7 linked regions of the Mus musculus genome follow. The main gene of each other region encodes a partner of the protein of the gene in region 2 in a complex. Links are inferred from orthologs where the notes say so. Each region holds a gene or a part of one and is shown on either strand. Other genes may lie near its edges. The genes, in order: Taf13, Taf8, Taf7, Taf11, Taf4, Taf10 and Taf5.

What was found.
Region 1: Taf8 (region 2) and Taf13 share a complex: the UniProt entries of both Homo sapiens proteins name them as parts of the TFIID basal transcription factor complex. The link is inferred for Mus musculus from reciprocal best matches to the Homo sapiens genes TAF8 and TAF13.
Region 3: Taf8 (region 2) and Taf7 share a complex: the UniProt entries of both Homo sapiens proteins name them as parts of the TFIID basal transcription factor complex. The link is inferred for Mus musculus from reciprocal best matches to the Homo sapiens genes TAF8 and TAF7.
Region 4: Taf8 (region 2) and Taf11 share a complex: the UniProt entries of both Homo sapiens proteins name them as parts of the TFIID basal transcription factor complex. The link is inferred for Mus musculus from reciprocal best matches to the Homo sapiens genes TAF8 and TAF11.
Region 5: Taf8 (region 2) and Taf4 share a complex: the UniProt entries of both Homo sapiens proteins name them as parts of the TFIID basal transcription factor complex. The link is inferred for Mus musculus from reciprocal best matches to the Homo sapiens genes TAF8 and TAF4.
Region 6: the proteins of Taf8 (region 2) and Taf10 are in contact, whole or in part, in a crystal structure (PDB 4WV4), measured with the Homo sapiens proteins. The link is inferred for Mus musculus from reciprocal best matches to the Homo sapiens genes TAF8 and TAF10. Residues at the interface, in NP_612639.2 of Homo sapiens: Arg33, Thr36, Leu37, Val40, Ser43, Leu44, Leu45, Ala48, Gly49, Phe50, Glu51, Ser52, Ala53, Glu54, Ala56, Ser57, Thr60, Leu61, Met64, Leu65, Gln66, Tyr68, Ile69, Ser70, Ile72, Gly73, Arg74, Ala76, Lys77, Cys80; in NP_006275.1 of Homo sapiens: Pro115, Leu116, Phe119, Leu120, Leu123, Tyr126, Thr127, Thr129, Ile130, Pro131, Val134, Thr135, Tyr137, Tyr138, Leu139, Ala142, Gly143, Phe144, Glu145, Ser147, Asp148, Arg150, Ile151, Leu154, Ile155, Leu157, Ala158, Ala159, Gln160, Lys161.
Region 7: Taf8 (region 2) and Taf5 share a complex: the UniProt entries of both Homo sapiens proteins name them as parts of the TFIID basal transcription factor complex. The link is inferred for Mus musculus from reciprocal best matches to the Homo sapiens genes TAF8 and TAF5.

Annotation. Positions count from the first base shown.
Region 1 is NC_000069.6:108,570,416-108,574,498, forward strand, and holds the start of Taf13 (transcription initiation factor TFIID subunit 13), read left to right. Parts: upstream 1-1,283; 5' UTR 1,284-1,306; coding exon 1,307-1,333; intron 1,334-2,464; coding exon 2,465-2,543; intron 2,544-4,083. UniProt on the Homo sapiens protein: The TFIID basal transcription factor complex plays a major role in the initiation of RNA polymerase II (Pol II)-dependent transcription.
Region 2 is NC_000083.6:47,492,292-47,495,791, forward strand, and holds part of Taf8 (transcription initiation factor TFIID subunit 8), read right to left. Parts: intron 2,199-3,500; coding exon 2,051-2,198; intron 1,414-2,050; coding exon 1,271-1,413; exon of another isoform or gene 1-1,270. UniProt on the Homo sapiens protein: The TFIID basal transcription factor complex plays a major role in the initiation of RNA polymerase II (Pol II)-dependent transcription.
Region 3 is NC_000084.6:37,641,405-37,645,666, forward strand, and holds the start of Taf7 (transcription initiation factor TFIID subunit 7), read right to left. Parts: upstream 2,801-4,262; 5' UTR 2,541-2,800; intron 2,129-2,540; 5' UTR 2,109-2,128; coding exon 1,083-2,108; 3' UTR 1-1,082. UniProt on the Homo sapiens protein: The TFIID basal transcription factor complex plays a major role in the initiation of RNA polymerase II (Pol II)-dependent transcription.
Region 4 is NC_000083.6:27,904,945-27,909,193, forward strand, and holds the start of Taf11 (transcription initiation factor TFIID subunit 11), read right to left. Parts: upstream 2,801-4,249; 5' UTR 2,728-2,800; coding exon 2,557-2,727; intron 467-2,556; coding exon 318-466; exon of another isoform or gene 237-317; intron 1-236. UniProt on the Homo sapiens protein: The TFIID basal transcription factor complex plays a major role in the initiation of RNA polymerase II (Pol II)-dependent transcription.
Region 5 is NC_000068.7:179,935,147-179,938,646, forward strand, and holds part of Taf4 (transcription initiation factor TFIID subunit 4), read right to left. Parts: intron 3,385-3,500; coding exon 3,265-3,384; intron 866-3,264; coding exon 746-865; intron 6-745; coding exon 1-5. UniProt on the Homo sapiens protein: The TFIID basal transcription factor complex plays a major role in the initiation of RNA polymerase II (Pol II)-dependent transcription.
Region 6 is NC_000073.6:105,742,394-105,745,806, forward strand, and holds Taf10 (transcription initiation factor TFIID subunit 10), read right to left. Parts: upstream 1,946-3,413; 5' UTR 1,926-1,945; coding exon 1,694-1,925; intron 1,592-1,693; coding exon 1,437-1,591; intron 1,100-1,436; coding exon 1,035-1,099; intron 948-1,034; coding exon 833-947; intron 671-832; coding exon 581-670; 3' UTR 501-580; downstream 1-500. Other genes in the region: Ilk (integrin-linked protein kinase), read left to right, coding at 120-269. UniProt on the Homo sapiens protein: The TFIID basal transcription factor complex plays a major role in the initiation of RNA polymerase II (Pol II)-dependent transcription.
Region 7 is NC_000085.6:47,070,748-47,074,247, reverse strand, and holds part of Taf5 (transcription initiation factor TFIID subunit 5), read right to left. Parts: intron 3,268-3,500; coding exon 3,030-3,267; intron 1-3,029. UniProt on the Homo sapiens protein: The TFIID basal transcription factor complex plays a major role in the initiation of RNA polymerase II (Pol II)-dependent transcription.

The sequences.
Region 1 (4,083 bases), on a different chromosome or scaffold from region 2:
GAACTCACTCTGTAGACCAGGCTGGCCTTGAACTCAGAAATCCGCCTGCCTCTGCCTCCCAAGTGCTGGGACAAAAAGCATGGACCACCACTGCCGAGCTTTGGTTTTCTTGTTTTGACTATGTAGCCCTGGCTGGCCTCTAACTCAAAGAGATCTTCTGGCTTCTGCCTCCCAAGGCAGGGATTAAAGGCGAGTGCCACTACACTTAGCTCTTTCATAATTTTAAAATATTTTCTTATTATTGTGTATGGAAGCCAGAGGACAACCTTGCAGACTCTGTCTTCTCACCTTTCACTTTTTATACAGGTCCCAGGGATTGAACCTGAGCCTTAGGCTTATTCCGCTAGAGCTTTTATTGACTGAACCATTTCTCTAGCACATCTTTTGTAATTTAAAAAAAAAAAAAAGAAGAAGAAGCAAAAAACGGCCGGGCAGTGGTGGCGCACGCCTTTAGTCCCACCACTTGGGAGGCAGAGGCAAGCGGATTTCTGAGAACGAGGCCGGCCTGATCTACAGAGTGAGTTCCAGGATAGCCAGGGCTACACAGAGATACCCTGTCTTGAAAAAACCAAAAAAAAAAAAAAAAAAAAGCGCAAAACAACCTTCCAACCCAAACTACATATATATATTGCGTATTAACGGAGGCAGGAAAGATTGCTCCGTGGTTAAGAGTATTGGCTGCTTTTCAAGAGACTTGAGTTTGATTCCTAGCCCCTATATAGCGGTTCACAATCGTCTATCTCTAGTTCCAGGAAATCGGTTGCTCTATTTTGGCTTCTTTGGTGCTGCACACACATGGTACACATACTTGCCGGCAAAACACCTATTTACATAAAAGAAAGTAGATATATAATTATATAATAATATAGATACTATATATAATATCATGGGGCTTGTGTACTTGAGTGGATCAGCCCCAGAGGCAAAAAGTCATCCTATTTTTACAGGCATTTGTGAGCCTCCGTAAGTATGCACAAATTTATCACTTATGTTTTCTGAGACATGGGCTCATGAAACTTGAGCTGATCTCGAACTCGAAGCCCTCTTGCCTCTGCCTGCCAAGTGCAGAGATTTCCCGGCGTAGTATACCACGCCTGGCTTCTTTGTAATTTTTAATTCCTCCTTCAGGATTCCACACGTAAGAGCACGTCACTGACTTCCAGCCAATCCCAAGGCCGGGGTTGGGTAGGAGAATGAACGCGCACGCCTCTCTGCGCAACGCTGGCCAGGCCGGAAGTGACGTACGTATCTTATAAAACTCGCCAGCCGCCGGTGGGCGGGTTCAGAAGGCTGGCGAGCAGCTAGCATGGCAGATGAGGAGGAAGACCCCACCGTGAGTGAGCGCCTGTCTCAGCCTGGTTCCTCACTCCTTTCGGATCACTAGCGGAGGCAGAGTCTGACCCGCTTGTGCCTTAGGGATTCCCGCCGAGAGTCCGGGGGCTCCGCGGTGTTTTCCTTTTTTGGTTTACCTTAGTCAGTGCGTGGGACAAGACGGGAAGGAAGAGTAGAAAGGGTCTCTCTTTGACCTGGATCTTCCCGACACTAAGACATCTAGAGGGTCATAGGAGATCAAAGCTGATTAAAGCGGAACCAGCAGCCCAGATGCTGACAAAACTAGTGAAGATAGCGGAGAAACGATGAACTAAAGACAGGAAGCTTGGGATCCAAATTCTCCTTTGGCATCGGTTTTCTTGTGAGGTAGAGTCCAGCCCAGTTAAGGAAAGTTCTTAGCCCTTTATCAGTTGCTTCCGATGACAGCAGAGAGTAGATTTTAAACTACCAGGTTTTTACAGTAGTCTTGCTTAGCAGTGTGACAACTAAATTGGCTAAAACCAAACCCAGAACCTGAGGTCGTTAGAACTTTACACACGCACGGTTGTAAGGTTGTTAGCAGCCGTAATAAAAGCCTTCTTGCACGACTTGAGAATTGGACTAGGGCTTATGAGCCCTTTGGTGCTAAATTTTCGTGGTTTTGTGCAGTTTGCTTTAGCTTCTCACTTTCGAAAATGAAAAAGGGTCACTGGGCGTGGTGGCGCACACCTTTAATCCCAGCACTCAGGAGCAGAGGCAAGCGGATCTCCGTGAGTTCAGGCAGACACGGGCACATAGTGAGACCACTTTGTCTCAAAAAAAAAAAAAAAAAAAGTGTAGAGAGATAGCTTTAGTGCTTAGGAGCATTTGCTGTCACATCTGGCAACCTACAGCGATTAGACCTAGTTTGGCCTCTATGGGCAACAGCAGGCACATTTATGTAGGCACACAATACACATAAATAATAAATGCCTTTAAAAAAAAAGATGAAAAGAGTGCAGGAGGTGTAGCTCAGTGGTCAAGCATCTGTTTAGCATCGTGAGCTCGTGGGTTCAATTCACAGCACTCCACAAAGAGGGCGAGCAGGAGGAGACTCGAGGGAATATCACGTGCACTGCAATCATTTGCCATGTCCGTGTTTTAAAATTTCTAGTTTGAGGAGGAGAATGAAGAAATTGGAGGAGGAGCGGAAGGTGGCCAGGGGAAGAGAAAGAGACTTTTCTCGAAAGAATGTAAGTTGTACTTTCTAGTGTTTTTATTACAGGTGGTGAAAGCTTTTGAACATGTCTTTTCAGAGTATATTGTTCTGCATATGTTTGTTTATAGGGACAGTGTTCTCAGAGTTGCCTATAAGGTTGCCTGTTTTTATTCTTGGTGTTTGTTTGTTTGTTTGTTTGTTTTAAAGATAGGCTCTGTATAGCCAAGGCTATACTGGTGCTTACTGTTTAGCCCATGCTAGCCTTGGTTTGGTGGTAGTCCTGCTTTAGCCTCTCAAGTCCTGGGATTGCAGGTGTGCATCCCATGGTCAGTATAAGTCTCTCTCATGTCTACTAATTCTCTCTGTGTGACATAAAATAATGAATGTGATCACCTCTGCCCTCCTCCTTGAGGCAGGGTTTTTTTGTTTTGTTTGTTTTTGTTTTTCTTTTCCTTTTTTGAGGCTTGGTTTTTCTGTGTAGCCCTGGCTGTCCTAGAACTCTTTCTGGAGTTTAGAATAGATCAAGATCTGCTAGTCTTGAACTCACAGAGATGTGCCTGCCTGCCTCTGCCTCCTGGGTGCTGGGATTAAAGCTGTGAACCACCACCACCCAGCTGAGGCAGGGTTTTTAGATCCCAGCATGATTTCAAACTTGGTATGCATATGCGTATAACCTTGAACTTGCAAGAACCTTGCAAGAACCTTGAACTTCTGCTCTCCTATCTGTTTCCCTGGCTCTAGATGTACAGGCATATGCCATGGCTCCCAGTTGACATTTTGAACGTTGTATCCCTCTTGTGTCCACCTTTCAAATGATGTAAGTTGAGGCTTTGGACTAAGGCATAGCTCAGGGCAAGAAGGTGGTGAAGTGTGCTGTGGAGATGACAGTGCACTAGCCTTCCATGGTGCTCCTTAAACAGACAGGTAGCCCTTGGGGCAGCGCAGGGTGAGCGGTGTCCACTTGTTGTGCCCATACTAATTCCTGAAAGGCCCATGAGACTGCACTCTCCATCCCTTCTCCCAGGCTCCTTGGCTGAGCCTTGGGAAGTACAGCGGCAGAGATTTATAAATGCCTGAGTACAGTAGGATTGAAAAATTCTAGAAACTGCAAGATCAGCCTTTAACTCTCTAAATCTTTTTTGATCCCAGCTCTTGGGAGAGATAGGGATGGGAGAATTTGAGTTCAGGGTCTTCCTCATTGAGTTTGAAGGCAACTTCGGCTGTATCTTACAACCATAACAGAAATCCTCACTAGTACCTTCCAGTTTCGTTCAAGTCTGACCACTTCCCATTCTGTCTCACTGATGCTAGTTACGTGATTTGTGTGTGGTTTTACTCCTTATGTGGACATATGAAAACGACCCTTACACTAAAGTGCTCTAGGAATGGTATTCACCCTGCTGCTTGTCCAAACCTTTAGTTCAGTTTCAACTGCTCTACTTTTGTGATGACAAAAATTTGGAATCTTCGCAGGCTTCTCCCACTGACTTAATAGAATCTTCATGTCTCTTCTATTTTTGCTGGGGTTTTTTTTGTTTGTTTGTTTTGTTTTTGTTTTTTGTTTTGGACAGGGT
Region 2 (3,500 bases):
CCGTCATCGTAGCCATCAACGATGCTTGCAGAAGTTGGCAAGTGTCCCTCCCTGGCTCGGTGCTCCTCTGCAACTCTGCTCCCAGCTCCTGAAGCAGCGGGCCCATCCCAGCAGCCCTCCCTTCCTCTTCCCTTCCCTGTCTTTCCATCCCAACCACTGATGTTGCTCTGGCCCTTGACGGCAGTGATGGTTCGGCTCTCCTCTCTCCTTCAAGCCTCTGCTTGGTCCTCCCTGGGTGTGCTGTTATCGGAAGCAAAGGCTCCATCCTCACCGCGAACCGTTTCGTCTTGAGTTACGTGTAAGGGATGATTTCACAGGCTCTCGGGAGCAGAGGGGTTTTTTGTTTTTGCTTGTTTTGTTTGTTTTTTTTTTAAGGTTTTTCAAGGGGGGGCAGAGGTTTTATATACTGGGGTCACTGCTGTATCCCGGGCAGACACATGCTCACTGCCAACCCATGTTTACTGAGTACATGATTGCTAAGATTTCTCATAAGAGAGGAAAAGGTTAAACTTCTAGGCTGCCTGCACGAGAGCCAGTTCACACGACAGAAGAGAACAGAACAGAACAGCACTGGCTCTAAACACCTCGCTCCTTACGCTCAAGGGCGTGAGAGACACCTCACATCAGGACACAAGGGGGCAGTTTAAACTGGTCAGAGTGAGATGTGACTGGGTTATAATCCCAGCACAGAGCAGGCAGAGGCAGGACCAGGATTCTAACACGATTACATTTTGCAGGCTACCAGAATAGTAACAAGTGCCAGTAACAGTCTTTTATTGTACTTTGTAGTATGGAAGTGTGAGTCTGCAGTCTAACACAGAAGGAGGTACCAGGAGTTAGCTCCCTCTACCTCAGGCTGGCCCTGCATGTGCTCTGTCCCCTGCCTGGAAACTCCAGAGATGAGCAGGGCAGGCGTTAGTCTCTTCAGGTCTTTACCCAAATGTCACCTGTAATCCCCCACCACCTCCACAGCTCCATCTCTAGTCTCTTTAGTTCCTGAAGGCGGGGCTTTATCTGTCTTGCTCCACACTAGTTCCTCAGACCAGGACCAGGGTCTGGACCTTACAGTGCTCGTTCACCATCTGCTGAATGTGTGACTCCCCAGGAGGTGTGTCTCATGATGGAGACTGGACACACAGCCCATCATGCAAGCTTGTAACAGCCAGCCAGAGACCTGGGGAAGGCCCTGTTCAGTTCCTAGGGGCAGGGGCAGGATGTGGGACAGGCTGTTTTGGGATTGCTGTGAGGCAGGCAGAAGGGGAGGACCCACCGTGCTGATATGAAGAGCGTTGTTCTCTGTATCTGTTTGCTCCTCCTGCTCCGAGGAGTCGGTCTCTTCCATCTGCTGTATCTCCAGCTCAGAAGGAAGCAAGGCCGTGAGGTAGGGGATGGTGAACGGTCTGGCAGCGATCACTGGGAAGTGGAAGAAAGACTCGAGTCTGTCAAGTAGCCAGAGGGAGCCAGGTTTGAGTGCTGCCCAGTTGCCATGACCTTGAGCTAGGAATTTCCCTTTCCCTATGCCTCTGTAAGAGTTACTAACTCACGGGTCTGGAAGGGCTGGCTGAGGTGCTGTGGGAGGGGCTAGTTAGCACCTGCTGATCTTTGTCCCCAGTGACTGCAGAGCCAGGCACCTAACAAGCACTGAGTGGGTGCTTACTGAATAAATGTGCCAATCTCCCCACTCAGATTTACACCACACACGGTCCCCTAGAGGTAAGTGAGACAGTCAGCAAAGCCTCCTGTGACATGAAAGAAAGAACAGTGATGGGCAACTGGCTGTAGACACCACTTCCACACTTCTCTGCTGCTGAGGCCTCAGCCACCGTGAACTAACCTAAACTCACTGCAGACAACATAGGAGAGGCTTTCTGCTTGGGAATCCTCGGGTAGGAACAGGCTCTTGGGATACGGAGGAAGGAGCCATAGAGCTGAAGAATAAAGTGCACTAGAGAAAGCCACAAAGGCATGCTCATCTCTCCACACCTCACTGAGAGCAAGGAAAGACGGTGTGATTATCTCAAACAACAGGGTTCAGAGGGGTGGCTCTCACAAGGAAAAGTGCTGACATCATCCTTGAAAAGACTCTGGGTCTCGCCTGTCTTGGCCATGAAGCGGGTGAGTGCTCGCTCCACGTCTCGTCTCTGAGATGCGGCCTTCTCCCGAAGGATCTGGTAGTCAGACACTGGCTCACGGTATGTCTAGGAGAAGAACAGAGATACCAGGCTGAGCTCCCACCCCCTTCAGCTCTCCTCAGGCCCTGACCTGCTGCAGCTATGTCCTTCCGAGGACAGCAGACAACAGAGGACCATCTCAGTATACAAACATTCATTAAAAAAATGCAAGTATTTACTACATAGTTGACTGTGTCTATGCTTGGCTTCCATGGCAGCTAGCTTTAGGTGTAGGACACAGATCCTCAAAGACGGCTTGGACCCCTCAAGGAGCACTAAGAGGAACCTCGATGCCACCAGAGTAACTTGGAACCTTACAGTGTATGAGTGGTGGCCCATGTGCATCTGCATGCAGTACCATCCCCTTGTCTTAAGTCCACCCTCTCCAAACAGACGCACTGGTCCAAAAGACTTCCCTTGGAAGCACAGAATACTGGCCCTGGTGGCATATCCAGACAGGTATCAGTGAGGCCAAGGCCAGCCTGCTCTAGGAGAGGGAGGGACGCAGAGAGGGGGACGAGGGAGAGGGAGGGAAGGGAAATACAGGTTGAGGGTGAGATTCAGCAGGTTAAGGCGTTCGCTCACCACGCCTGAGCACCTGAGCTGTCAGCAGGACATGGCTCAAAGCGGAGGCAACTCCCTCACCCCCTCTGACTGCCTCCCATCCATGCAAGCCACACACTGTGCATGAGCGCCCACCCACACAGATAAAGGAAATAAGTGTAAATATTAAACAAGGAGAGAAAACCAGACTGATGCTGTAATTGTAAGCAGAACTGAGAGAGCCAAGGACAGGAGACTCTGGCATGCTAGCCCCTTGCTGAGCATCTCAGAGAGATATTCGGAATCCAGTAAGATGAGAAGGACCTCAACGTATTTTACAATGCAGTGGCAGAGAGGACCAAAACCAGCTCCTCCTGACAGAAAGGCAGGTTTTAAACTTCTAAAGATGTTTCGAGGGCTGGAGAGCTGGCTTAGGGGTTAAAAGCACTTGTTCTTACAAAGGACCCCGGTTTGATTCCCAATACCTACATGAAGGCTGGTACCATTTCTTCAGGCACCAGCACACATGTGGTGCATAGACACACATGCAGGCAAAAACCTCCTATATGGGGCTGGAGAGATGGCTCAGCAGAAGAGCACTGACTGCTCTTCCAGAGGTCCCCAGTTCGATTCCCAGCAGCCACATGGTGGCTCACAACCATCTGTAATGGGATACGATGCCCTTTCCTGTTGTGTAAAGAAGCTACAGTGGGGGGCTGGGGAGATGGCTCAGCAGGTAAGAGCACTGACTGCTCTTCCAAAGGTCCTGAGTTCAAATCTCAGCAA
Region 3 (4,262 bases), on a different chromosome or scaffold from region 2:
CAGACTAGTTAGGGCTTCAGAGGCTCTGGCAGCCGTCAACAGCAATACAGAAGGCAAGTTCTCAATGAAAGGGGCCAGATGACTTCCATTCTGAATTCATACTTAGTTTGCCTAGGGGCAGCTTTTTAGTATTTAAAAAAACACACAGAATTTTTCTCTGTATATGAAATTTTAAAATCCCAGACCAGGACACAGGTTTTCATACTGGGAAATACTAATGAAACAATATGAATAAACATCAGTCTATTAAATAATTGTAGCAGTTAAATTGGCAATAGTTAAAATATAATCTTAATCTAAGCATGTGGAATAGTTTATCTGATAACTGCTTCCAATATTTTACAGATAACCTTAGTGCTTAAGAAAAAGATACAGATATCCATCCATAAAAACTAGGATAGTTTAAGAAGGCTCTAGACCCAGTGTTCATAAACCTCCAGATGAAGTGGGTGGACCTGAACCTTAATATATAATGCAACAATGAATTTCTCCATTTCCTTACCTGGTGCTTTCCTTTTCCTAAAAACAAAAGAACAGGATTTATCTTGATCTACACCATTCAGTCATTAAACTCCATGAACCACCTCAACTTTCAGTATTCATAGAACAACATCATAAACAGTGAAAATTAGTAGCTTTTATTGTATAAGAAACAACCTTTATGAAAAACTTGCATTTCTGTAACATGGAAACTTGCTGAGGTAAAAAAAAATATATTTCTTTTAAAAGAAATTAACTTCACTGCCTGTAGGCTAGCTTATTACTGATCTTAGCACCAAAAAAAAAAAAAAAAAGGACTAGAAACTTTTAGGAAACAAATTGTAATAAAGTCCTGTGATTAAAAGTTCAAGTGTTTTCATTTCACTCATCTTTCTTATATCTTCCCTACAACAAACCTGTCTATGTAATCCTATTTTCTTAAGAATGAAAACCCACCACCATAGTTCTGAAAAACAATCAAAAAATTTTCAACAAAACTCAGGGAATAAGAACATTTCAAAGAAAAAAAAAGTATTTCAAGACCTTACTCTGAAAATAATTTTTTCTTGAGCTGACTAGTCTAAGGACTAAAGTCAACAAGCTCACTTCTCCAGAAGTGATTCCAGCTCTTCCTGCAAAGAGCTAAGCTGCTCCTTTTCGCGGTCTTCTTTTTGTTTGAGCTCATCCAGAACTGCCTGAAACCTGTTCTTGAGAGCCAGGTTTTCTACCTTCATAATGAGATCTTCCTGGCGCTTTGCCCTGTCTTGGGTTTCTTGGAGCTTGCCTTTCATGTTATCTATCTGCTTCTGAATTCCCATAACCAACTGATTGGTTCCTTCATTTTCTTGGTGTTGCTCGTCGGATTCATTTAGCTTGTCTTGTAGCTGTCTCTCCAGATCTTCCTCAGTGTCAAGGATGTTTACGTCTTCTTCATCTTCACTGCTGCTGCTGAGGTCATTGAATATCTCTCGAAGCTCATCATGCTCTAGTGAGTCATGGCCTTGCCTGTGGCCAGACATTCCTGGAGAAGAGATGTCCAGGCCTTGATTTTCTGTCTCCTTTGTTTCATCTTCAGCAATTATCTCCCAACGAGTACTGACAGCTTCTGCATCTGTACTCAGCAGACGCTTGACTTCTTTTTCCACATCCGGAGATTCAATGTACTTCTTCTTTGCTGTCTTCCGGAACCGTCTCTTTCTGACATTTTTTAGAGGTAGAGTAATTCCATGGTTCCAAACAAACTTTTTCTCTTTGTCCTTATCTTTTTTCTTGTTTGCTTTGGGATCAGCAGTGGCAGCTGCCTCCTCCACAGGAGGGTATAGGTCACCATCTACTGTGGCTACAAGCATCTGAGAGATATCAGCTGTCTTGTAAAAGGTTTTCTTATCGATGGTTTTCAAGCTTTCCGTAACACAAGGCAAATCGACCAATTTTGCAGCCAAGGGCACTCGATCCACTCTGACAATGCCGTGACGCCCATCAGGGTGTAACTCAATGCTCAGTTTGTCTTTCAGGTTGACATGCCCAGACTGCACTGCCCTCCTCACCGTAGCGGCATATTCTGGGGGCAGTCGTAAGATAAACTGGCTCTCTAGCTCATGAGGCGCATCGTCTTTGTTCTTACTCATCTTTAATTCCTTGTGAGCTCCTACAACAATTAAAGGGGGGGGGCAATGTCATTAAGTAGAATTTTAAATTCGTAATTACCAAGTTCCAAGGAAAACAGCAACAAAAGTGGAACGCAAGCTAGTGCCTATTTTGTCTTAATTTTTTAATTAAGTCCCAAGTCTAGTCTTTAAACTTTTAAACTTTGGCACTGTCCCTGTTAAACTCACTCGTCTGCTAGATGCAGTATCATATTAGAGCCTCTAAAAGACGCTGCTGATAACCTGAACAGCAAAAGAAACGGCAGCGACTGAGGGGTTTTAGGCACAGACCGTCAGTCTAGTCTGGCAGACAACCCCGATCCACAGATTCTCTCCAATAAGATATAAAATAAAAGTATTAAAGAAAAAGAATAAGTAAAGGGAGTGAACGAACTCTTCGACTCCGGTACTTACAGTTCACCAGCGACTGTGAACTTAGCTTTTCGCGGCTTGAGCAAAGCAGCAGGGAGCGGTGCGTCCGCCTTCCGGTTTCTTGGCGTTCTCGGCCGCCCGGCAGGGCGACCTATGCGCTAACAATGAGACGGCTAAGGACCCGCGGCGCGAAAGCTCCCTCTCAGAGAACCGAACACCGGAGACAACTTTCCCACGTCTCCTCTCACTGAAGAAAACGAAAGTGCTCCGTCAGAGCGGAAGCAGACGCGGCGCTACGTCACAGACCGGAAGCAGACACGGAGGGGCTGGCCGCCGCTCTTCCGGAAGTACTAGCGGCGCGCGCAGGCGCACTTCGTAATTACGTCGTTCCGTGACTACGTCTTCTCGTGAGAACTTGCCCTGTATAGGCTGTTTCCAGAAAAGCTTTGCTTTGGAAATGCAAGATGGAGATTCCAAAAAAGTAAAACATAAACTTACCCCGTAAGACAGCACTTTACGAAGTCGCGGGTCGGGACAGTTTCTAGAGTGATTACCAGAGATAAAGGTCGTCCCTGCAGAAAGCATCTTTACTTCCCAGGGCGTACCCAGTCGGCCTCCGCTAAAACATTGGAAACAACACAAAGTAAAAGTGGCCCAAACAGTGAAATGATACAGTATTGCTGTTCACTCTCTAACGCGAAAAATCATGCTTATTGCCTTGAAAGGAACTAAGCCTTTGGCTTCATTTGTGTTTTTGGATCCAGAGGACCAGGTGTGATATGTATGATACGATATTTTGGTAATATGTCAGATAGCTATAACTGTAAACAAATGTTTTTATGATGACGCAGGTTCATTTAGAACAGAATTGTCTGAAACACAAACGGTCTGATTTTGTTGTGGAATGTCCACCAAAGAACGCTGTTCAGACACAGGTTTAAGCCAACAAATATTAACTAGCCAGTGACTACACTGGGTGTTCTGGATCCCAGTTGGCCCTGAGACTTTGTCATGGTGAGCTTTTAAGCACAAACAAATGTCCTGCATTGGCATACTTTTATTACAAGAACCATAAGCTAGAGACTGACCTACAGAAGCCAAAAAGCAAGGCTGGTACATTTAGAGACTTTCCCAGAACTATGAAGTTTGATAAATTAGGTCTTTATTATTTATTTTGCTCATTGATACTGTCTGTATTAGTTAGGGTTCTCTAGGGTCACAGAACTTGTGGAATGCCTATATATTAAGGGAATTTATTGTAATGATTTGCAGTCTGTAGTCCAGCCACCCAACAATGGGCAGCTCTAAATGGGAAGTCCCAAGAGGCTACTTTGTTTCACCTGGTCTTCTGTATCCTGAAGACGTAGGTAGCAGCAGATGTGCTGGCAAATAAGTGCAAGCAGGCAAAGAGTGAGTCTTCCTTCTTCCAATGTCCTGCAGCAGAGTGTTCTGCCCAGATTAAAGGTGTGGACCACCACTCATGGATCTGGAACCTGATTTGTCCAAATCTGGCTTTGAAATAAGAGATCTGCTTGCCTCAGTCTCCTGGGATTAAAGGTGTATACTACCTTGCATGGACCTAAGCTTTTTATGGCCACTATGCCTCAAGATCTTCATGTAGATTCCAGCCTCAAGACCTGAATCATTGGTGTGCCCTCCATTTCTGGATTGTGGTTCATTCCAGATATAGTCACCTTGACAGGCAGGAATACCCATCACACTGTCTATGTGATGAATGGTACTTTCATCATGGAGTCAGTAGTG
Region 4 (4,249 bases), about 20 Mb from region 2:
AGGCCAGTTTCCAGGCCCTCATTCCTTCTTCTACCACGCGGTTTCCCAGGATTAAACCCTGGTCATTAGGTTCGGTGGCGAGCAGTGGTGAGCACCTTTCCTTGGCATCTTGCTGGCCTGAAACTATATCCAGGCATAGCAGCTCATGCCTATGATCTCAGTACTAAGTAGGCTGAGGCAGGAAGATCAGGAGTTGAAACCTTTGAGCTAAGGGCTTAAGTCTCATGAGCCCTTACCTCAAAAGCACACAAAAAAGCCAGTAAGCATGAATGTACAGAGTGGAGTTAGAGCCTGGACTGGGGACCTCTGTGACTCACTGCATCTTCTGAATCTCATCTTCGTCCACCTTCTGCTTCTTCTCCTTCTTGTCCTTAATGTCTAGTTTCAGCTTTTTGGCTGCAGGAGTAAGTAAGGACGAGTTTTCCCTCTCGGCTGCTGTTACATCTGAGACATCCTGACTCTTGAGCTGGAGAGATGGACAGAAACTCTTATTATGTACTCGGCACACTTCTCAGGTTTGGGAAAGGCCAGCAAACACCCTCCTCTTTCCAGCCCAGCAACTCTGTCTACGCAGTAGCTATCTAGTTCTAGGCACTGCCTATACCATCTGCATAAGAGGCAATCCATCTCTCCAAGGAAGATTATACTCCAGCTGGGAAAGAAAATAAATAATCCGCTGGGTGGTGGTGGCGCATGCCTTTAATCCCAGCACTTGGGAGGTAGAGGCAGGTGGATTTCTGAGTTCGAGGCCAGCCTGGTCTACAAAGTGAGTTTCAGGACAGCCAGGACTACACAGAGAAACCCTATCTTGAAAAACCAACCAACCAAACAAACAAACAAAAAACAAAAAAGAAAATGAATAATCCATTTCCCAGCCTAGCCATGATCATACAGAGGTCCTGCATCTGTTTACACATTACGAGGAAAATGCCAAGGATCCAAACAGCCACTCTCCCTCGGGCCCACCCTTCTGACCTCACTCCATAGATGTCAGTACAGTCCCTTCCATGTGTGTCTTGGGAGCTCCACACTGAACAGAGCTCTGTTCTTCTGATCCTTTCTCTACTGGATCACGAGATCTTTCCCAATACTAGAATACAAATTTTATTTATTTTATTTTTTTAAATAATTTGAGACAGAGTTTCTATACATAGCCCTGGCTATCCTTGAACTCTCTCTGTAGTAGTCCAGGCTGCCTTGTACTCAAGAGGTCCACCTGCCTCTGCCTCCAGAATGCTAGGCTTAAAGCTGTGCACCACCATGCCCAGTTCGGAAGCTTTTTTTTTTTTCCTTTTGTAATTTAAGACAAAGTCTCATTTTGGATTTTCAGCTTGTGGAAATTATAGACTTGTACCATTATATTGAGTTTAAACTAAAAACTGCAGAAAGCTCAGAGGTTAAGAGCATTGGCTGTTCTTGCAGAGTATCTAGGTTCCATTTACCAACACCCACATTTCAGCTCGCAGTCATTAGCAACTCTAGTTTCAGGGGATCTAATGCCTTCTTCTGACTTTTACAGGGAATGTGCCAGGCACATTACACGGCAAACAAAAATACACAGGCAAAACATTCATATAAAAAATATTCTTAAAAACCCACAATTTTTCAGTTACTACGGACATTCATGTGTGTGGGTTTGTAAGTGGACAACTTTGTGCAGATAGTCCGCTTCTACCTTAACGTGGGTTCTGGGGATCAAGCACCCTGACCTGCTGAACAATTTCGCCTGCCCTAAGCTAAAAACGTCTTCAAGATGTTTACTATTTACATTTCTCCTCACATAAACACTTAACCGTTTTATTCACAAGAGTGATCCAAACTCTGTCCTAGCCAACTTACTATAAAATCGTAATACATCAAAACTCATTAATGAGATTTAATGGTTCCTTTAAAATGAAAGGTATGTCGGGAAGTGGTGGCACATGCCTTTGATACTAACACTTGGAAGTCAGAGGCAAGGGGATCTCTGAATTCGAAGCCAGTGTGGTCTATAGAACCTGAGTTCCAGGTTAGCCAGGGCTACCCTGTCTCGAAGGAGGAGGAGGAAGAAGAGGAAGAAGGGGAAGAAGAGAAGGAGAAGGAGGAGGAGAAAGAAGAAGGAGGAGGAGGAGAAGAAAGAAAGAGAGGGAGAGAGAGAAAGAGAGAAAGGAAGGAAGGAATTCATATTTAAACTCATACAGAAATATGGAGAGGGGGAGAGAAGGCATTATCTATCTGACAGCCTTTCTAACTTACTTTCCACTATTGATCTACGCGTGTTTCTAACCTTTGTGCTTCAGATTTTCAAATTTATTTGTCCTTAACCATTTTCTCCTCGTCTTTTATCTTCTTGTCTCCTCCACCTTCCTCCTCAGCCTTCCCCCAAAAGGAGCTGGAGTACAAGCAGGCCTGAATAGGGCTCTAACAGCACCTACACCTTCCCGTTCCCTCTCCTGCCCCTCAAGGTTGCAGACTCACAAACAGTCGTGGGGGAATTCTAGTTCCCTGGCTTTGGAAGAAAGCAGTCAGGAGCGCACCCGGGTAGTCCTGCAGCGTTATCCACCAACTTCCACCTACCTCGCTTTCCTCCGCCGCGGCTTCTTTCAAGTCCGCGTCTCCATCCCTGTCGGTTTCCTCCGGGATTCCCTCAGTGTCGGCTGCCACCAAAGCCCCAGGAGTAGCCCTCGTCTCCTCTGACTCCCCTGGCTCCCCGCCTTTGTCTGTGGGCGACTCCCCGAGGTTGTCCATCGCGAGAGCAGGGGGTCAGAGGCGATGGCAGCACCGCCGGGAGAAGGAGCTGTGGAGCGGAGCTGGAGCTGAGGGCTCGTCGTCGCGCCGCGATGACGTCACGCCCACGGATCCTGGGAGGGGTCACTTCCAGAAGCGCGTTGGTTGCCCAGGGGATTCATATAAACGGAATTTGTTTTAATGTGAAAGAAATGTAGAAGTCTAGATCCTCCGCTTCAGGGCAGAAGCGTTTTTGAAAGAGCGTAATTCGTTTCCCGAGAGACTTCTTTTTCCTTCTTTTTCTTCTCCTTCCTGGGAATGTAATGCCAATTAACCCTTCTTTAACTTTACTCCTTCAGCCCAAAGTCGGGGAACAGGGAGAGAACTCGGTCCCGCTGCTTGTTGTTGCCGTGGACTGAGCAGCTTCCGGCAGCGACCTAACCTCGGATTTCCCAAAGAACTAAGACCACCGGCTTGTGTCCACCAGGGAAGTTTCCCTTCTGTTTCGCAAGCATCTCTAACGCCAACAGAAAGTATCCAATGGTTTCATTTAACACTTCAAATATTGGCCACCTGCCTCGCGTCAGAACAGGCTAGTGTTGTGAGGGAAAAACAGAAAAAAAAAAAAAAGTCATCCTTTCCCAATTACATTTCCCTCCTTAGTCCACCAATATTAAAAATTGGAAATGGTTCCCCAAATCTGACTTTTAAAATGTCTCTCATGACAACTAAGAGAAAGAAGGTCTCTTCTGACTTTTTCTGAAGAGTTAGTAGGATGGAGTGCGAGGATAGTGTCTGTTAAGAGTTCTTACATTTTTTTTTCATGTGTATGGGTGTTTTGCATGTAAGTCTGAGCTCCACATGCGTTCGTGGTACCCTGGGAGGCCAGCAAAAGGTGTTACATCCGCTGGAGCTGGAGTTACAGACTGCTGTGAGGCGCCACAAGTGATGGGAATCAAACCTAGATTCTCTGGCAGAGCAACCAGTGCTCTTAACAGGGAACCACCTCTCCAGCCACCCCCGTACTCCCTCCCCCCCCCCCACCTTTTTTTTTCTGGAGAGAGGGTCTCACTATGTAGCCTTGGCTAGCCCGTAACTTGCTTTGTAGATCAGGCTGACCTTAAACTCACAGCGATGCAGCCAGCGGCTTCTGCTTCTCGACTGCTGGGACAAATGGCAGTTGCCACAATGCCAGTCTAACTGCAGAAGTAAAACTCTCAGGTCTTCCCTCCAGGAGGCACCAGAGGGAGGGATTTTTCAAGTCTGGTTCTAGATCTCCGCGCCTATCCCGTATTGAATCTATGCGTTTTGAATGGAGTTGAAAACAGAGGTACGCGTTACCCCCTTTTCTTTTGTTTCTACGGTGCCAGGAACAATGACCGCATTTCCAGTGCCATGAGGTCCCAAACCTTTGGGAAGGCGAGCAGTTCGGGAAGCTCCTGCAGGCGTGCCGCCTCCGATCTCCGCCACCTGGCGAATGGGCGGGTCCGCTAGGCGTAGACCGCGCCTGCGCCAGGCTCGGCTCCGCACACCGAGGCTCCCC
Region 5 (3,500 bases), on a different chromosome or scaffold from region 2:
GTTTCCTGTATTAAAATAAAACAGGTGTAAGTTACAGGAGATTTCCCCACAGGACCCCACTGCAGTGAAATGTGTACAGGTCTGAAAAATGTAAACTCAGCATCTCAACTTCCTTCAAAACCACACTACTTCTTGCATGAGCCATAATCTTCTCTGAAGGGCAATCAGCCACTCTGAAGGCCACCAAGTCTGCGTCTCTCAACCAGCCCTTTTAAGGGAAGGCTGCATCCACCAAGACACTGCCCTTACGTCGGGACAGGGGCTGCTGCTTGCCTAAATGTGCACAAGCACACAAAGTCCCAGGCAGCTCCTGGAAATGGTTAAAAGTACTTGGCAAAGAATACAAAAAGAGAAGTTGCAAAATAGGGTCCCAGCTTCTCTAAAACTCCAGGTACATAAAGGAAAAGTAGTGAAGACAAACACAGACAGACAGATAGACAGACAGACACCCAGACCACAGGTGCTCAGCAGCTACATATATGTGGCTTCCACAGGTCTCTGTAGGGTCCTAGATCCCAAGTAGGACGCTCAGGGCCCTTTCCTACCATTCCTCAGAGGCCAGCATGTGCAGGTCACCCCATAAGGGGAAGACAGACCCAAGCTCTCACGTGGGTCCCTTCAATGCACCACTGCTCTTGGTTGGCTTGTGGGCCCCAAAATATTCTCAAGCCCCTGTATATACCAGCTCCATTTCCCCACTAATACCAATGGCTTTGCCCATAGGCGTCTCAAAGGGAGTTCTTACCGTGGCAGCTGTAGAGGTGGTGCTGGCCCCAGGGACTGTTCGTTGAGGTGTCCCTGTCTGAACAGCTGTGGCTGTTCCAAGTGAGGCTGGCTGTGCGGAGCCACCCAGAACCAGCTGAGGCTAGAAGGTCAAAACACAGGTGAATGCATCGCAACAGCAGCACAAGCCCAAAAGTAAAACAGCTTCTGAAAACGTAGGGAGCAAATGGCTCAACAAGGGCCAGGTAGGCACCCTTCCTGCAGCCATGTGAGGTGGCCAAGGGCATCCCTGGCCCCGCACCTGAGGCCCACAGAGACACATGGAGGTATGCTTGTATCTACAATAAACCTGAGGGGCTTGAACCTGTCACTGTCCAGAATCTGTCACACTGACTAACGGCTACCACAGAGACAAGCACAGAGGACTGGATACACAATGAGCTGTCATCTCAGACACTCCTCCTGAGAACCCTTTAATCTGTTCATAGAGCCCTGGCTAGAAAGCAATTGTGACCTCCCAGCACATAGCATCTGCCAGAGTCCGTACAGGCCACCAAGACAAGGGAAAGGCCTCCACTCCCCACAAGTACCTGCACTAACGAGCTCTGCTTTCCAAAAGTAAGGCCTGACGAGAAGCCACAGCATGCAGAGGCACAGGTATAAGAGCTGGGTCACAGGCACTGGCCCAGCTGTGGGAAGGTACTCCTTGACCGAACATAAAACATTTGCAACGCAAATGGGCACTTAGATGTCAACAGGCTCAGACTCTCCAAACCACTGACCCTTAGTCTCTTTCCTAAGATTTCTCTATTCTTGAATAATCACAATGAAATATTTACCGGTTTTTACATTATTACCTCTCCAATTTACAAATTTAGCTGCCCACATTTCCTCACTCCAGTTTATTAAACACTGTCCCCTCCCTTCATCTGAAAGCAGGGAGCAGTGTGACATCTCACACCCACACCAAGGAGAGCTCTAGAGCAGCTTTAGGCAAATCTTCAGCCCCCTTAGAGAAAGCCTTGGAGGATCCCAGCCACAGGTGCTTATGAGAGAGCTGTACAAGTACTAAGCTACCTCCAGGCCTCTTGGCCCCCAAGTTACCCTGCAGCTGGCAACAGATTCAGGGGTGATAATTGTCTCTGTATGATAAGCACGTATTGCCCACCAAACCAAAACATGTGAAGATAATATGCAAAAACAAACTAAGAGTTGACTCAACAAGCCAGGGACAGCAGGACTCAGACCCTTCTTGCCATCTTTCCTTCACTCCAGCTGACAGCTATGGCAAGGGACACACTCACCCTGACTGTAAACTGTCCACTAACCTCAAAGCATTTGTCACCATTAAAACGTGACACACAATTTACCAAGCACTTCAGTAGCTTCTAGAGCCTCTTCCTCCTCCTCAGAGAAGCAGACGCTGGAGTCAGGCACAGGCAGCACTACAAGTTCCCCTCAGGAAACCGCAGGTCTCCCAGACTCCAGCTTCTGAAACACACAGGCCTCTCTCCTGACTCACAGAACCGTTCTCCAAGATATTCTTGCTCTCCACAGCTACTGAAGAAAATGGAGCTGAACTCAGAAAAGTTGGAGCTGAGTTCAGAAAAGTTCAGAGAAGCCCCCGTGTGGACCGCCCTCACTCAGTTCAGGCTCCACTGGGACGAGGTGCAGCTAATCAGGAACACTTCAGCTAAGATCATGTATGAGTGAGCACGAATCCAACGTGGTTAGAGCTCAAAGCCCTGTACTGTATGACTGCTCCAAACTCAACATCAGGAGCCTTTGAGGCTCTTTGCTTCCCACCTACTCCCAAATGAGTGCCCAGAGAGTGAGCTTCCCTAACCAATGTTTGCCTCCCCAGCCAATGACATCTTCCCTACAAGTGTTTCCCTGATCAGATGTGTCTTCACCAAGTACATCTCTGCAAACATGTTATGCCCTCCCTAACCAGTCCTTTCCACCACGCCTAACATCTGCTTCAGCCTCTGCAAGGAGGAGCCCCTGGCACGGAAGCTCCCCTTGGCTTTATACGCTAGAAGCTGCACAGGTTGATCAGGTAAGGCCAGGGTCTGCAGGTAACTCCCCTGCTGCTCCCTGGAGCACTGACACTAGGAAAGCAAGGCTAGGGAGAATGCCCCTCCCCCACTCTCCCCTCCCTAGCTCATCTACAAATTTGCCACAGGAAGTTGAGAGGACACCTTGCACACACACTAGTAGCACCGTCCATGAGCATGTAATGGGGCCACAGCACAGACACAAACTCTCCTCAGCACAGACTCCCTCCTCAAAGATGCTCTGAGTCAAATATTAATGAGGTGACGTTCCTAATTACATTTTATAAAGAGCTTTTGAATGCTGCCAATGCTAAATAAGGAAAAGATGTAGCCTGCATTCAGACACAGAAAAATCACTTTCTTCATTGACCCCCTGCATCCTCAAATTCAACCTGGTACCCTAAAGCCTAGTGTTTACATCGAAGCAAAAGCATGCATTGTCAGCCATGCATCCCTACTGATGCACTAGGCTGCATCCTCTTACCTGTACCCCGGGAGATCGCTGTAGGGTTGTAGTGGGCTGTACCGTCGTCTGGGCCTGAGACACTTGCTTAATTATGGTAGTTGGGGTCACCTGCCGTGCAATAATAGGTGTTCCTGGAGCCTGGAAAATAAGTTAAAAATCATCTAAAATGAGCTACCGTAAGTAGTACCTACACCTGTGCACATGTATGTGTGCACATGCGTATACACAGACTCTTAAAAATACACCACTGCACT
Region 6 (3,413 bases), on a different chromosome or scaffold from region 2:
GTAAGCGCTTCCAGCAGTTTATACAGATAAATAGTAATCTTACCATTCAAGGATCAAAGGCTTTTACCCATATGATGAACTCAAATTCTGAAGCTCACCTTATTCCTTGTAATTTGCAGGTGGCACTGGAAGGCCTTCGGCCTACCATCCCACCAGGTATTTCCCCCCATGTGTGTAAGCTCATGAAGATTTGCATGAATGAAGACCCTGCAAAGCGACCCAAGTTTGACATGATTGTGCCTATCTTGGAGAAGATGCAGGACAAGTAGGACCTTCAGGTCCTTGCCCAAACTCCAGAAGTGTCAAAACATGGCTGGGGGAGTACACTTCTCCAAAGTTAAAGACCTCTGGTTGCCTCCCCTGTCTCTAATCATGGTACTACCCCAGTTATGGGACTTGTTCCCTGCTCCCATCCCTACCACTGTAGCCCCAAAAGGGGCTGGGCTCAGAGCTTTGTCACTTGCCACATGATGTCTCCCAACATGGGAGGGATCAGCCCCGCCTGTCACAATAAAGTTTATTATGAAAACAGGCTCGTGTGGGGACAGAGGGAAAGACAAATACATCTGGGTTGCGTGGCTCAGGTGAAGTAGTGCGGCTTCTTCACATTGATGCCATACTCGCTGAGGGCAGGGGTCAAGTCCTCCATGGTTAGGGTGTACTTGCGATCCTGGGGGAAAGAGGGAAGACCACCAGCTGAGCACAAGTGCAGACTCCAATCCTTTGTGGGTGACCCTGAGCAGGCCCAATACCTCCCCTAGGATTCTGCTTCCCCAAAAGGCTTTCAGGATAAGTTAGGCCTGTACTGCAGTGGAAGGTGAGCCTCTCACACCTTGCTCTTGCTCCGGGAGCTGCCAGAGGCTGTGCCCTTCATTTTGCAGTGCTGTAGGGCATCATTGGCAATATCTGAGATGAATTTCTGGGCAGCTAGTGAGATGAGCCGAATTCTAGAGAGGAAGAGGGTGGTAGTAATGAGAATATTTAGCAAACTCCACCTAGCACTCAACAGTCTAACCTGCTCCGAGTTTACTCACATGCGTGGGTCTGAAGCTTCAAAGCCAGCGCGGTTCAGGTAGTAACCAGTCACTGCATCTGGGATCTGAAAAATCAAATTAAACAGCCATCAGTGTTAGATCTGCCTATTGATGCGCTGGCTGGGACGGAGGACTAAAGAGATAGCTTCATGCCAGGCAGTGGTGGCACACGCCTTTAATCCCAGCACCTGGGAGGCAGAGGCAGGCGGATTTCTGAGTTCAAAGCCAGCCTGGTCTACAAAGTGAGTTCCAGGACAGCCAGGGCTACACAGAGAAACCCTGTCGCGAAAAAACAAACAACAAAAGAGATGGCTTCATAGCAGAGAAAGCTTGAAAGAACGAAGGTGTGGTTCAAAGGCATTGACAGCGAGCCAGGTGGCCTTGTTCAGGTGGGAAGCGCACCGTAGGTGTGTAATCCTCCAACTGCATCAAGAAGTCCACTAGAGGTGTGCTGGACACTACGGGCTTCACTTCTCCGTTGGCCGCGCTCGGTAGGGCGTAAACCCCGTTAGACATTGCCCCCTCCGGGGGAGCCGCGCCGCCCGCTGCCACCGAAGCTGAAGGAGAATCAACAGCACAGGTGAGAGGCGCAGGGTTCCCCTGCCCCGGCACCTAGTCCGAGATGCCCTCCTCCCTCACCCGGCCCGGCCCTCCCTCACCTGGCCCGCGCCGCTCTGCCGGCTCCCCTGCCCGTGCCGCCACGGGGCCCGTGCCCGCAGTGGCGACTCCAGCCACGGGGCCCCCTGCTGTCCCCGCGGGGCTGGCCTTGCTCTCCGCGGCCGTGCTAGTGGGCAGCGCAGCGGGAGCCGACACCAGGGGTGCCGGACCCGCGACCGAGGCGGCACAGGCGGTCGCCGCCTCGGGGTCCGCGCCGGAGCCGCTGCAGCTCATGGGGCCGGTGGGAAAGGCGGCGAACAGAGCCGCTTCCGCTTCCGCTCGCCCAGGCGCACGCTGCGTGACGTTACAGTTCCCGCCCACCACTCTAAGCTGCCGCGGGCGACCTTAGGTTGGCTGTTAGTGGATGAGGTGTAGACTTCAAGGCGGAGGCGAGCTGTGTGAGATGTGGCTGCCACCCTGCGGTTCCACCCCGGCCCGGGTGGGGCCGCAGAGCATCCAGGACTGAATACTTTATCTGGGTTCGTTCAACGACCTGGCTTGGGGACTCATCTGCCAGACACTTCATTACCAGTCTCCTGACGGTCTTCATGCATTCTTTGTAGTTCCCTTTCATGGTCTTTTAAGGGTTGCAGTGGATTTGATGTGTGTCCCTCCCACCCACAACGGGCTTAGGAGAGTACCTCTGTAAATGTAGAGATGGGTGTTTTACCCTGAAGAAATAGCATGCCAAAGTCTTGTGTGAAACACATTTACAATACAACAGACTTTTTTTTTAAACAGTCATTTATTTAATTTCTATTTGGGCTGGGACCTAGGAATACAAAGTTAAGAATCAGATTCTAGTTCACTAGCACCGACTGTCTGGAAAAGGAAGGCAAACAAACTGACAATTTCAATACTGTATGATTGTTTCCCAGCTACATGTAGGTGCAGTGCAAAGAAGAAAGGGAAACTAACATTCATTGCTTAATTCCAAGTGTGAGACATTAGCAATGTTTATTTCCCGATTTTGAAGGCAAGTTTCAATGTCTCTGACTTTTACCCAGTAATCTTTGAAGGGTTTGCACAAATACATAGACTGCTTGGTTTGGAAGATGAGGGGCTTCGGAAGCCTTTCCTCTCCCCAAGTGCTTCCTGCAGTTTAGAAGAAAAAAGAACATGGGCTCAAAGATAATGCAGTATTTTGTGCATGTGTGTGTGTGCACATATGTGTATTTTTGAGACATGGTCTGACTATGTAGGCCTGGCTTGTCTGGAACTCTTTATATAGACCAGGATGGCCTCAAACTCAGAGACTTGCCTGGCCTCTGTCTCCTGAGTGCTGGGATTAAAGGTGTGCATCACCACACTAGCCGATAAAGATATACTTGAGAGGCAGTCAAGAAAACTTTTTGAAGTTAGTAAGGAGGTGAAAAAGATGAGAGTTAAGAGTTATAGGTTTCTGGCTTGTTTGAAAGAGGCATTATATCATAGATTAAGAGATGAAATAGTTTAGGTCTGGGCTGGAGGGAGATGAAGTAACGAGGTATCTCACATTTGAGGTATCACTCACTGTGGGTATAGATGTCAGTGATCTGTCAAGGGATGATAATAAAATGATAAGAGCAAGAAACTAAGAATGGAACAATGAACACAGCATCCCTGGAGTCAGCAGAAAAGGGGGCTGATTAGTGTGGTCAGAGGGGGGTCACTGAGGAAAAAGGATAAATGGGAAACTGATGGAAAGAACAAACACCCAGGTTCACAGAAGCTAGATGTTTG
Region 7 (3,500 bases), on a different chromosome or scaffold from region 2:
CTTTTTTATTAAAAACATTTCAAACATAGGAATAGAAAATAGTATGCCTTCAGTGTACTTATCACAGACTCAATGATAATCAGAACATATATTCTTATAAGCCTATACATTTTAATTACTTATGTTAAGACATATTAAATATCAATATTTTAATAATGATAAACTAAAGAACAAATACTGGTACTAAACAATGAGCACTTTCATATTTTCACTACTACCAAGGCAATTAAATAAAGCCTTCAGTCTTGGTTATAACTTATAGTTTAAATATACTTTTGTTTTTATGTCTTGGCTTGTTTTGCCCTCATTTGGGCATGGGGTCCTAGCAGACTGTCTGTAATGGGAACAGAGAGCCTTTTATGACAGCCCATCTTCCTACATGGAAAGGTGGCTATCCCAGGAGACTGAAGGAGCAAGACTGATGACAGTACTACAAAAGAAATTAGTTGGGCTGGTGAGATGGCTCAGTGGGTAAGAGCACCTGACTGCTCTTCTGAAGGTCAGGAGTTCAAATCCCAGCAACCATATGGTGGCTCACAACCATCCGTAACGAGATCTGACTCCCTCTTCTGGAGTGTCTGAGGACAGCTACAGTATACTTACATATAATAAATAAATAAATAAATAAATCTTAAAAAAAGAAATTAGTTTCTAAGCTGGGTGGTGGTGGCACATGCTTTTAGTTCCAGCACTCAAGAGGCAGAGTGAGTTCAAGACCAGCCTGGTCTACAGAGAAAGTTCCAGTACAGCCAGGACTATTATGCAGAAAAACCCTGTCTCTTTAATTAATACATATATATATTAAAATAAAGGCTTCTAGTGTAGAAATGTTATTATCAGACAAAGAAAGGGGAGGGAGTGACAGTTTGCTTTCAGTACCTTCAATTAGGAATCTGAGTATAAAGAGTGGATAATAGCTTTCAGGAGTTGTTATCCACAAGTCCTGACCTCAAGCTCTGTAGCTTGCACTGAAGCGCTGCCTTCAGTCAGCCCAACCCTGCCCCCTTGGCATCTGTAACAATGCTTTCCGGGACTTCTCCATGTTTCTCCACCTTTTCCTTTTCTGTATCCTATACTTGTTAATGTTGGAGCTCTTCAAGCCAATGTATGGCTCTAGGTGCTCCTCTCCTCTCAGCTGTTATATAGGGGAACGGGATTACATTAGACTGGACTGTTGGCAGACCTGTCTTGGAAGTACTGGGGATTTTTGGGGGTTTTTACCTTTTTTTTTTCTTTTTTTTGGTTTGAGGTTGAGGTTTGTTTGTTTGTTCGTTTGTTTTTGTTTTGTTTTGAAGACAAGGTTTCTCTCTGTGGAACTCAAGCTGTAGACCAGGCTGACCTCACTCAGAGACCCACCTGCCTCTGCCTCCTAAGTGCCGGGATCAGAGTTGTGCACCACCATGCTACATGCGCTTAGTGGTTCTTAGTGGATTCTTAAATTACTTAAAAGTTCACTTGAACTGGAACTACAGACTAGTACCTCTACTTGACACATCACATCCTCCTCCGGGGATTTCTGTCAGGAAGTCGTCCTTCTCCAGAGGACACCCCAGAAATCTGCATTGGCAATGGTGTCTCACCTCAATGTCCATCCCTGCACTGTGGGGTCAGTCTGCCTTTCACTTCACCAGCAGACTGTTTCTCAACAGCGGTATTACTGATATATTGGGCAAGACAATTCTCTGCTAAGTAGGACTATCTATACATCCCAGAATAGTTACTATTCTTCCCTCCTCCCCAACAGGTATTTATGACAAACAAACATGCCTCAACATATTTCTAGGTGTCTATGGGAAAGAGGACTGCCACCACCATTAAGAAGCACTTCACTCTAGTCATCCAATAGTCCTGTCCCTCACCGTGTGTTTGCCTCTGCAAAAAAAAAGCCTTTTAAAACGCATACTCTGGGGTGGGCGGGGGGCGGGGAGGTAGAGACCATGCCTATAACCCTAGCACTCAGAAGGGAGAAACCAACAGATCTCTGCAAGTTTGAGGTCAGCCTGGTCTACACAGTAAGTTCCAGGCTAGGCAGGACTACACACTAAGATCCTGTTTTAGGAAAAGGACAAAAGGGGTTGGGGATTTAGCTCAGTGGTAGAGTGCTTGCCTAGCAAGCACAAGGCCCTGGGTTTGGTCCTCAGCTCTTGGGGGGGGGGGGGGGGGGAGGGAAAAGGACAAAAAAGACTGCAATTAATGAATGATCCTCTAATGACATCTATAGCAGAGATGCCTCACTGTGCCCAAATGCTCATTTTAACTCCCTTCCTCCGTAACAAAACACCTGACTATTAGCTGGGGACAGACATCTCGGGGAAGATCGCAGGAAAGATGGCATTTCCTACATTTGTCGCTAGGGATGGTCACTGATAAAAAGTTAGAAAAAGAAGTGTGAGCATCTCCCAGGAACGTGTGCCTTTCTTGCTGACTAGAACAGCGTTTGGACTGCTGTCCAACAGAGGACCAGCTTGTGCCTGGAAGAGAAGCTCCTGACAAGAACACTGGCCGATGACTGAGGACTTAGCTATCAGCCCTAAAACTGACGTTTTACTTAAGCCTCTTGTTTGCGTTGTTAGTCATCTTCTAATCTAATCCTAACACAGTTCCTACTGCTCTCAGAATCCAGTTTTTATTCATAATCATTGAGTTTTTCAGTGACTCTCAATCAAATCTAGTCTTATCCAGTGTAAGTCCCTATTATTCCTATGACACAGATCCTCAACGCAGTGCAAGAACCTGCCTGCTGCTCCCAACTGAACGCTGTACCACAGCCCTGCACATTACTGGCCTCAGCTGCTATGGGCTTCTTTCCGTCTCTGTAGTTACAGGTATGCTCTTCTCCTCCACTGGCTAATTCCTAGCAGCCCTTCCTCAGTTCTCGTTTCAGGACTGTTTCCTCTGGAGGATCAATCCTGCCTGTGTGTCAGGTTCATGCTGCCCAAGGCACCTGTCCTTCTGATTTACATTTGTGTGGTTACAGATGTGTGTGCTTATACATACATAGATAGATAAAGACGTTAAGATTCACATACTTCTCAAAGAATGATTTTGCTTCATTTTCATGTTGATTATAAACTAGCTCCAAGTACATATGTACAAACAGAGGATAAAAGAGTTGGGATAACTCTGCTCGATGGCAGTCCAGAGAACATTCAATGAAGTGTTTCAGTCCACTGTAGTATTCTTCATACATTGTAGGGTCTCCTTGTTGGTTGTAGGCCGACAAGACAGCACTGACGTCTGGCTGGTCTTCCACAGCTACACTTGCAACTGTTTAAAAAATGAATGACAACTTTTAAGAAAATGATCTAATTGCACCAAGCAGATGAGGTTTTGCTAAGGCCCCAGGGACGACTGTTTCTCAGAATTGTCCCTGTCCTCTCTACTTCTCTTCCGCAACACAACCACGCATCTTTTCCTTTTTTAGTTTTGTATTACATTTGCTTATTTTGTGTATATGTGTGGCTGTGATGAGGCTAGCAGGCAGACAAGCCATAATAGTT